Linked DNA regions of Saccharomyces cerevisiae S288C. Changing the gene in region 3 together with the main gene of any one other region gives a genetic interaction. Each region holds a gene or a part of one and is shown on either strand. Other genes may lie near its edges.

Region 1 (3,079 bases), on a different chromosome or scaffold from region 3:
AGAAATGATTTCCCTCAAAACAGGGTGACCAGGTTTTGCTTGTATAATCCAAGTACCAAACTGAAGTCTTCTGATATACTTGGTTCTCCAGTCAGCTCTTTGAGCGTCTTCCTCAACTCCAACTATCAACCCAATGTCGGATGGCGACAACTCTTCAGGAATCCAGTTTGGAATTGGCTGAACAGGGAACGTGTCGATGTCAGCATAAACACCTCCATGAACTAACAGTATTAAGTATTTGAAAAAATCTATCTTTAGGATGATGGAGGGCAGAGCTTCGTAAGTCTCTAGGATTTCCGGTATGGAGTAGAAGTAGTGGTGTACTAGTGCGTTTATCACGTCATGGTTCAACACTTCGTGCGCAAAGCCCGGATTCTTGCTTTCCCACATGCCCTTTATATCTTGAACACGCTCGGGACCTTCATCATTGGACCAAGTTTGCCAAATAAATGCTGGGAACTTGACATGGGAATCGTAGGGGAAAGTCATAGCTATGCGTTCTCTTAGGGTGGCCTCCGGAGGTGTTTGTTTCAAGTCTTGGATTTTTTTTTCCAGGATCTTACGTTGTTTATCAAATTGCTTTGCTTGAACTTCCTGTTGGTGTCTGATCTCCTGAGCCAAACTCTCAAAATGTTGAACTAGATCAGAATCCGAACTCTGAATATTGTTGGCACTATTAATGCTTTGGGAAATCTCTTTGGGCAAGTTCTGCAGAATTTTTTGTAAATCAGTAGCATTAGAATTGTGAAATAGGTATCTAACTCCAAATGCTAATGAGATGAGGGCTATTATGGCGAATATCATCAACCTCCTGAAACTGGAGGCTCTTTTTGTTGTTTTGGCCATCGTTAACCGCTACAGTCTATATATCTATCTGCTGTCTTCCGAGTAGAGTGCCTCTTCTCTGCAAGAATACGTGCAAAATGGAAAGAGAGGAATGTTCATTATGGTCACTGTTATTTTTTCACTTTCTTCGCTGCTGGGAAATTTCGTTATACTTATCGGAAAAAACATGTAATACGCTATATAGTAGAAATAAAAAGGTAATATAAACATAAGGTTAAAATTTGAAAGATTAAGCAAACAGCGACGTGTCCACAACGTGAAACTTCCGTACCATTTCTTGCAACAATTGGTAAACAGCATGACATCTTGCAGGCAACTCTTTGTTGCTTGCTTGCGACGCCTCCTCCTTTGTCAAAGGTACATTAATGGAGATGACCACATCCGTGTCAAACTGGGTTAATCTGATCAACGCTACGCCGATGACAACGGTCTGTGCCAGATCTGGTTTTCCCCACTTATTTGCTACTTCCATAACGAGTCCGGTGAACTTGGTTCCTTGCTGAACAGTGTCTTCTTGTAAAGCTTCCCATTTGGTGGTCCCGTTCAACTCCGTCAGGTCTTCCACGTGGAACTGCCAAGCCTCCTTCAGATCGCTCTTGTCGACCGTCTCCAAGAGATCCACGATAATGCTTTCATTGGTGGCTAGTCCATCTTCGAATTCTTCTTCATCGCGACGGGAATTGACGTACACCTCCTGTGTATCGGGGACTTCTCTTAGAGTAGAAGCGTCTATAAACCCAGGTGGGACGACAGTAGTGATGGCGCCGCCGTATAATTCGACTTCCTTGTTGTTCATGCTTCCTTGATGACCAGGGTAGGTGTCAATGAGAGTGCATGTGGAAAGTTGCACCGGTTGTGAAATATGAGAAGCCTTTTCAATCTTCATATGCAAACCCACACATGCATCGTTGGTTTCTGTCCACTGCCACTGCAATGACCACTGGATAAGGGGTCTTTATAAGAGAACACATATGAAGAACATGAACGTTCTTGGACAGAGCCATAAACAGCAATTGAAGACAACAAGAATAGCGCAAGTCAAGCGATGAAGGAGTCAGTCCAAGAGATCATCCAGCAACTCATCCACAGTGTCGATTTACAGTCTTCCAAGTTCCAGCTGGCCATTGTGTGCACGATGTTCAATCCTATCTTTTGGAACATCGTTGCAAGAATGGAATACCACAAGCATTCTCTCACCAAGATGTGTGGTGGGGCCAGAAAGGGCTGTTACATGTTGGCGGCGACCATATTTTCGCTAGGTATCGTCAGAGACATGGTGTACGAGTCTGCATTGCGTGAACAGCCTACGTGTTCTCTGATCACGGGCGAGAACTGGACCAAGCTGGGTGTGGCTCTCTTTGGTTTGGGGCAAGTGCTTGTTTTGAGTTCCATGTACAAGCTGGGTATCACAGGGACGTACTTGGGTGACTATTTCGGCATCCTGATGGATGAGAGAGTCACCGGCTTCCCCTTCAACGTTTCCAACAACCCCATGTACCAGGGTTCCACTTTGTCCTTCTTGGGCATAGCCCTTTACAAAGGAAAGCCTGCGGGGCTGGTTGTTTCTGCCGTAGTTTACTTCATGTACAAGATCGCTCTTCGTTGGGAAGAACCTTTTACTGCCATGATCTACGCTAACCGTGATAAGGCCAAAAAGAATATGTAAGTGCTCTATTTCTATATATTCTATAATGTTAGAAGCCTATGCTATTACCGTTTCTATATAGCTCCATAAGCAATTTCTTCGCGAAAGTGAAAAAAAAAAATTTTAATGCGATGCTCTATTTAACAAGGAATACAATGAGAGCATCTAGCGCACACAAACAACTACAAAACGCAATAACGACACAGCAAGAATGAGTCTCAGCACAATCATATGTATTGGTATGGCCGGATCCGGTAAAACAACTTTCATGCAAAGGTTAAACTCCCACTTGCGGGCAGAGAAAACGCCACCATACGTAATCAATCTTGATCCTGCAGTATTGAGAGTCCCCTATGGTGCAAACATCGATATCAGAGACTCAATCAAATACAAGAAAGTGATGGAGAATTACCAGCTAGGTCCGAACGGTGCCATTGTCACCAGTTTGAATTTGTTCAGCACCAAGATTGATCAAGTTATTAGGTTGGTGGAACAGAAGAAGGACAAGTTCCAAAACTGCATCATCGACACTCCAGGCCAAATCGAATGTTTTGTGTGGAGTGCGTCGGGTGCCATTATCACGGAATC
Region 2 (3,196 bases), on a different chromosome or scaffold from region 3:
GAGATGGAAGATTGTATAGAAAAGAACACGACCCCAGCTCCATTTTCCTCTCCCAAAGTACCGTCTTTGAGCCGCTGCGTGCGGAATTTCGTGTCTAATAGAATTATATGATGGATGGTTCGAGTTAAGCGGTGTTGCTGTTGTGTTAGCGGGCGGCATCAAAGACGAAGATTCCGTTGCAGGGGCCGGATGGTCCTCTCTTTGCTGAAACTTGGCCTGAGACTGGTGGAAGACCAGCCTGTTGGAGTATGAAGTCACCCAATTGTAGAATTGCTGCATACTAATACCTTCATCCTTATCTTCTTGTAAATATTGCTCGTCCTGCAACAAGTATACCATTTTGCCAAAAGGCCAAAGGAAATAATTGGCGAGTTTATACAGACACTTGGAGTACTCCTTCGCAGAGTTCGTTACCAGTCCTCCGCCGCCTAGTAAAAATACCACAATAGCCGCCGAGTAGAAGAGTATCGCAATGGGGAAACCGAACAAAATAAACCATAGCACATTGGAACAAGTCACCTCCCAGGTAATAGTCTTCAACTGAGTCTCGTGAATGTCTTGCGCCGCGGTTCTTTGAACTGAACGGTGTTTCTTATATAAAGCAGGCTTCCATATCCTGATACCGAAGGGGTGGGTCTCGTTGATGGCGTCCTGTCTTTCTCGTAAAGTGAATGACTCTGTGGACGAAGCATTAGACGCCTGGTCATTGTTTTCCAAGTGTGAAGGCGACTGGCAATTGATCTCGTCTATAAGTAAATCATGGCCGTGCGAGTCGTGTATAATGAACCGACTGTCATCATTGGCGTCCTCGTCATCATTGTCATCATGAGGTAATTCCCGGATAGATGAATGCATTCGTTTCGGAGAGCTGGGAGTAGCTGTATTTAAGTCTGGCACAGAGTGCGACTTGGAGGATAGCGACTCTAGTGTGGGCGGCAAGTGTTGTTGGTGCTCGTGGTGGTGCAGCGTGTTGTTGCTGCTATGTACGATTGGTGATTGCGAGCTTACAGATCGCTTGGATTTATTGGCATGCAGGGCGAACTTCAACCCTTCATGCAGACCCTCAAGATACCTGATATCGTTTTGGATCTCCTTTGGATCATCGTCCACGCTAAATATTCTATGAGGAGTCGAGGCAGATGTAGTTGGGGTCAGAACCTCCTCTTTAAGACGATGGTCTCCAGAGGTACTGTTACCACTGGCAGAAATGTGGTTATTTTTGGCCATTGCTGCTTACCGCTCTTCTAGCTAGCAGTTATTTCACTTTCATTTACAGCATCCCTCATGTTTATTATCTTCTTTATCTAATATAAATTAGGAACTAAATAATCCCCTCACCGTATAAAGCGACAGTTCCGTGACGGTTACTATTATGAATATCTCAACGGAAAGAGGGCATTAAAAGATCATAATAGTTGGTACTCTCGTATTTTATATATATATATCACTATATTTTAACACTTTTACTGCTCAATTGTGCCATATACTTCGCCTTATTGCGTACATTCTTCACCTTGTATCCCCCTACCTCAGCGTGTATGGTGATATCGCGTTTTTTCATAAACTGAGAATGGGGCTTTTTCTATAACGTGTATTATGAAAAAAAGAAAATAAAAATCAAGAATTAAGCACTTGTATATGCTACAGTAAAGACCTCTTCAACTTCTGCAAGACAATCAAAAAAAAAATGATGCGTCGCACGCTATTACATTCATTCGCTACGCTGCTACTTTCTTTGTCGTTGTGGTCAGCTGCGGTCATGGCAGCTGTGACAACTCAGGTTACAGTGGTAACAAATGTCGCAGGGGCCCTGGTTACGGAGACCACAATATGGGACCCTGCCACCGCTGCTGCTGCTGCTACAACTACCGCTCAAACAGGTTTCTTCACTACGGTATTCACTACCACTAACGATGTCGGAACCACCGTCACTCTTACTCAGACAGTCAACAGAGCCACTATGCTACCAACCACGACGACTTCTACCTCATCTACTGGTAAGACAACCACCACTGTTCCTACCGCAACTTCATCGTTGTCTTCGGGACTGTATTTATCTACAGTTACCACGACAAACGATTTGGGTACCACAGTTACATTGACTCAAACGTTCACACATTCTAGCACCAGTGCTACTTCATCCGCCTCCTCGTCTGTGTCCTCGTCTGTATCTTCGTCTGGTTCATCCTCCAGTGTAAAGACGACCACATCGACAGGGAGCGCAGTAGCTGAAACAGGCACCAGGCCAGACCCCTCCACAGACTTCACAGAACCTCCTGTGTCTGCTGTCACTAGTCTATCTATTGACTCATACATTACCATCACTGAAGGTACAACCTCCACTTACACAACCACACGTGCGCCAACGTCCATGTGGGTCACTGTTGTTAGACAGGGCAACACTATCACTGTGCAAACTACTTTTGTCCAGCGTTTCTCCTCCCAGTACGTAACAGTCGCTTCTCCCTCCGTGGGGTCTATTGGGATGGGTACTTTAACCGGTACTGTAGGCGTTATTAAATCTGCAATAAAGAAAACAGTTTCGCATAATGAGGCCCAGCATCTAGGTATGAGTTCGTTTACTTCAATTTTGGGTGGGCTATTAACGGTTTTAATTTGGTTCTTATAAATTTTTATTCAGAAATAAACACAAACATATACATATATAAGAGTAAAAATAAAAAAATAAAAAAATTTTACAGGGTTAAAAATAAAGAAAACCATCACTCCTTTTCTATTTCATATTCCATGACAAACTTGATGCATCAGCAATCTTTCTACCGCCGAAGAGCCAAAACGTTAATAATATCAATGCCATGGCAGCACAAATACAGCCTCCAATCAGGTAAACTATACCTAAAAATGGATTTCTACCGCCAAGGTGAGAACCGTGAGTCAAGTAGATTCCCTTCTTACCATTAAACTCCAATACTGGCCAATGCAGACCGATATCCAACTGGTATTCACCCGCTGGCAAAGTATCGTTTTTATTGATTCTGATCAGTTTTGTAATTTTATCAAAAGCACCTGGCCTCATCCAGTTTTGGAACTCTTCCCAATCCTGAATATCAGGAATATTCGTCTCGTTGTATCCATCTGGATACATCTTTTCCCAATATGGTGGAGGTGCTATCTGTGTATAATTGTATTTGGTTTTTTTGTACCTTTTTTTATCAGATTCCCAATTGATTCCTTT
Region 3 (3,799 bases):
TGCCAACTATTCCTATAAGATTATGTGGAATCGATGCCCCAGAAAGAGCACATTTCGGTAACCCAGCTCAACCGTTTGGTAATGAAGCTTTAATTTGGTTACAAAACCGAATTTTGGGAAAGAAAGTATGGGTCAAGCCTTTATCTATAGATCAGTACAACCGTTGTGTAGCTCGAGTGTCATACTGGGACTGGTTTGGTGGGTGGAAAGACTTAAGCTTAGAAATGCTCAAGGATGGATTAGCGGTTGTTTATGAGGGTAAAGTAAACACAGAATTTGATGATAGAGAAGATAAGTATCGATATTATGAATTTTTGGCAAGATCTAGAAAAAAGGGACTGTGGATCCAGAATAAATTTGAAACGCCTGGTGAATATAAAAAACGTATTTGAGTTTTCGAGAGGATTTTTATCCATCATACTGCAGATTTTCATATTATATGTTCATTAGCTTTTCACGCTTCCTCTCGATATTTTTTTATTTATTTTCGGTTTCATTTTTGTACTAGTAGATAAAAATACATACATGATAGCAGTGTTATACAATTGATATTCGTAAATTTGGCATTCAGCATTTTAGGTAAATTCCGTGCCTCTTTTCTTCTTCTCTGATTTCAAACATTATTTGTACTGCGATGAATAAACTAACGCTTGCCAAAATTACAAATTTGAAACCAGATACGGTACAGAACATATCGCTTAGTAATTTTTTAGTACCGTCAGAGCCCAAGCAGAATCCAAAAAGATTAGCGATCATCATAACCCATATGTTGAAAACAGCACCGACAGCGCAAACGTGTCTGTACCAGACTGCGTCGGTATAATGAGAGAAAATTTGGGTAGCAAAAATTTCTGGTAAGAGGAACAAAACTATTAGCCAACCCCATAATAATAACTTTAGTTCGATGTCATGCCATATAGCTACGAAGGAAAAGACTGCTAGTGATGTCAAAACTCTATTTTTTGAACCACCTAGAGGAATATATATGTAACGGACAACCCACTTATTGTAGCTTCTATGCCAAGCTCTCCAGAATGCTAGTGAACTGTAATTGTTATCAACACACCTGATCATATTTTCAGGTGTATCGATTCCGTCTAGCAAAGCCCACAGCCTAAACAGCCTCCACGGAATCAGTAGTTTTAGCCAAATAATATTCAAATTAAATAAGCCAATCATGGAAATCTGGAAAGGTGTGTCATTTTCCCACGCTTTGGTTTTTGAGATTGCCACAACGTGGAGAAAGTGTAAAATGAACTCCATAGATAAGAGAGCAATAACGAATCTCACCGCATAGTAAAAAATGAATTTGAAATTTATTGATGGCAAGGTATGTTTCGATTGGTAAACATAATCATTGAATGTTATAATGGGGCCGGCAATGAAAAGTGGCGTGTAAGTAACATATGCAATATAATTCATTAAGCTGTAGTCCTGTATGGGGTGTGCAGCAGTTAATCTAGCACGTTCATTGAGCAAAATGGCTGATTTAGCTTCTTTTGATTCATAGGATGGACTTTTCTTCTTTTGTAAATTCTCCCACCTCTCTAAGAAGTCCAAGTTGTAACTTAAGACTCTCAAAAGAGTAAAATTGAAAAAGACATCCCATCTTGGAATGATACCTCTATACCAATGGTCCAATGGGCTTAAAAAAGAGCAAATATTACCAAATGGATATGCTCTGAAGTTGTCGTTAATAAAAAGCGTAGAAATACCATAAATCCAAATGCTGATGGTGGCTATTCTTCTAAAGTTCTTTAGTACATGGGCGATGGCATATAAAATTAGCATATGGGCTAAAATTCTTATCGAATTGACACCATGAGCGGCCACTAAAAAGATCAAACCAAATATCAGATCAAACCTCAATTTAGTGATATTTGTTGAATAAAGTACAATGCGTTTTATAGAAGTGTGGACTAGCATTAAAACTGACAATAGCGCAAAATTGTCCCTGAAAAACCTATATTGAGAATCACTATTGTCTACTTTTCTGCCAAATAACCAACCTTGAGATAGGAGACGTTCGTATCTTGCATAGTTTGGATTTTCGGGCGAACTAGCTTGTAACCCAGCATAGAACATCAAGGGAACCACGACCAGAAATGCAATGTAGTAGAATTTGAACTCAGTAGTTTTCCATAGTGATGGCTTAGTGGTAGTAGAGGCATCCTTTTTTGGTGAAGGTTTGATTCTTGAATCTAAGCCCTCGGAAGTAATTAGGGGAGACAGGATGCTGATCAGCGACATTTCTTGCAATTGTCTGTTAACAAATGCTGATTCACGCTTTGTTTTTGCCTTTGTATGATTAACATCTATATATCGAAAGCAATATGCTAAGTTATTATTCTTACCCTTTCAGTGTCCTTTTTGGCACACCCACTAAACATAAAGAGAAATACGTGAACACCTATACACCCTATATTATTTTGATTGTTCAACATTGCTTGATTCATCATCCATTCTCCAGCTCTCGAATCTTGTTTCTGGCTTTTCCAAGATTATGTGAAAATTAACTTACTCTTTTTGGTCGATAAATAATTACAAGTTCAAGTGCATGTCTAATTGGAAACTTATTTTTATGTCCGATTGAGCTGATGTTCAGCTAGTTTATGTTTATACAAGAAAAATGCTCACCCGTACATATGCTCCTTCTTCACTCATTTTCTTGTCCTGTTGTTGAGACATTCAACTTTGATCCTGCTCTTGTACTTTTATGATTCATTACTTATATATTGGTCTTCATTATTCTCGAGATGAAATTCTCAGGGTCTTTTAAAAAAAAAGTTTCAGTAGGAAAACTAAACGTAATTAAACTATTCTTCGGTTCGAACCTGAAGTTGCGTGAAAAAAAGGGTACTGCAGTCTTGAAAAAATAGAAGCCAAAAAGAAGTTAATATCAAAACAAATAAATCTTGCACATATTAAAGCGCACAAAAGTATTCAAAACAGTGTAACTTCGAATATCGTATCATTAAGGAAAATAGGACACACTTTGATTGAGCAGGGATGATGTTTTGGTCCTCAAAGACGGGTATCACGTCAAAATATTCATTTTCATCATCACCTACTTTCACAGCTGAACCATGGAGCATTTACACCGGTCGTCCCAAATCTTCATCTTCATCTTCACCTTCCAAAGTATCGATATTCATGTTTGACAAGAAGCAGTTCGAAAACTATTTGTTACACTATGGTATTATTAAATCCAAATCTGGATCCAGAGATAAAGTATTAATACAAGAAGCGTACGAAATATTAAGAAACCAGGCCAATAACTTGGCCAAGCTCAAGCACCCAAATATTCTGACTTTAATTGAACCATTAGAAGAACATAGCAAGAATTTCATGTTCGTCACCGAGTTTGTCACTAGCTCATTGGAGACCGTTTTCAGAGAAACCGATGATGAAGAGCAGAATTTCTTACAAGGTCATGTTAAAGATAATATCGTGGTACAGCGAGGTATATTGCAACTGGTAAATGCACTCGATTTTGTTCATAACCGCGCAAGCTTTGTACACTTGAACATTCAACCTAGGGCAATATTTATCAATGAAAATTCTGATTGGAAAATTTCCGGCTTAGGCTATTTAGTAAAAATACCACCAGGCACAAATACCTCTGAATACTTCTTACCTCAATATGATCCCAGAGTTCCCCCATTTATGCATTTACAATTGAATTATACGGCCCCAGAAATTGTTTTTGAGAATACCCTAACCTTTAAGAACGATTATTTTTCTTTAGGATTGTTGATATATTTTCTGTACACTGGTAAAGACTTGTTTCGCAGCGAAA

What was found.
Region 1: mutations in GUP1 (region 3) and OPI3 together harm fitness more than expected from each alone (negative genetic interaction), as found in Saccharomyces cerevisiae (6 studies listed by BioGRID).
Region 2: mutations in GUP1 (region 3) and KRE1 together harm fitness more than expected from each alone (negative genetic interaction), as found in Saccharomyces cerevisiae (5 studies listed by BioGRID, with this or other methods).

What each region holds. Positions count from the first base shown.
Region 1 is NC_001142.9:571,748-574,826, reverse strand, and holds OPI3 (bifunctional phosphatidyl-N-methylethanolamine N-methyltransferase/phosphatidyl-N-dimethylethanolamine N-methyltransferase), read left to right. Parts: upstream 1-1,891; coding exon 1,892-2,512; downstream 2,513-3,079. Other genes in the region: HOC1 (alpha-1,6-mannosyltransferase), read right to left, coding at 1-846; Ran GTPase-binding protein MOG1, read right to left, coding at 1,076-1,732; GTPase NPA3, read left to right, coding at 2,703-3,079. UniProt on the Saccharomyces cerevisiae protein: Catalyzes the second two steps of the methylation pathway of phosphatidylcholine biosynthesis, the SAM-dependent methylation of phosphatidylmonomethylethanolamine (PMME) to phosphatidyldimethylethanolamine (PDME) and of PDME to phosphatidylcholine (PC).
Region 2 is NC_001146.8:32,727-35,922, reverse strand, and holds KRE1 (Kre1p), read left to right. Parts: upstream 1-1,687; coding exon 1,688-2,629; downstream 2,630-3,196. Other genes in the region: VNX1 (calcium/hydrogen antiporter), read right to left, coding at 1-1,227; LEM3 (Lem3p), read right to left, coding at 2,735-3,196. UniProt on the Saccharomyces cerevisiae protein: Involved in a late stage of cell wall 1,6-beta-glucan synthesis and assembly.
Region 3 is NC_001139.9:350,049-353,847, forward strand, and holds GUP1 (O-acyltransferase), read right to left. Parts: upstream 2,251-3,799; coding exon 568-2,250; downstream 1-567. Other genes in the region: LCL3 (Lcl3p), read left to right, coding at 1-392; SCY1 (Scy1p), read left to right, coding at 3,010-3,799. UniProt on the Saccharomyces cerevisiae protein: Membrane-bound O-acyltransferase involved in the remodeling of glycosylphosphatidylinositol (GPI) anchors. Acts only on GPI-anchored proteins, but not on free GPI lipids.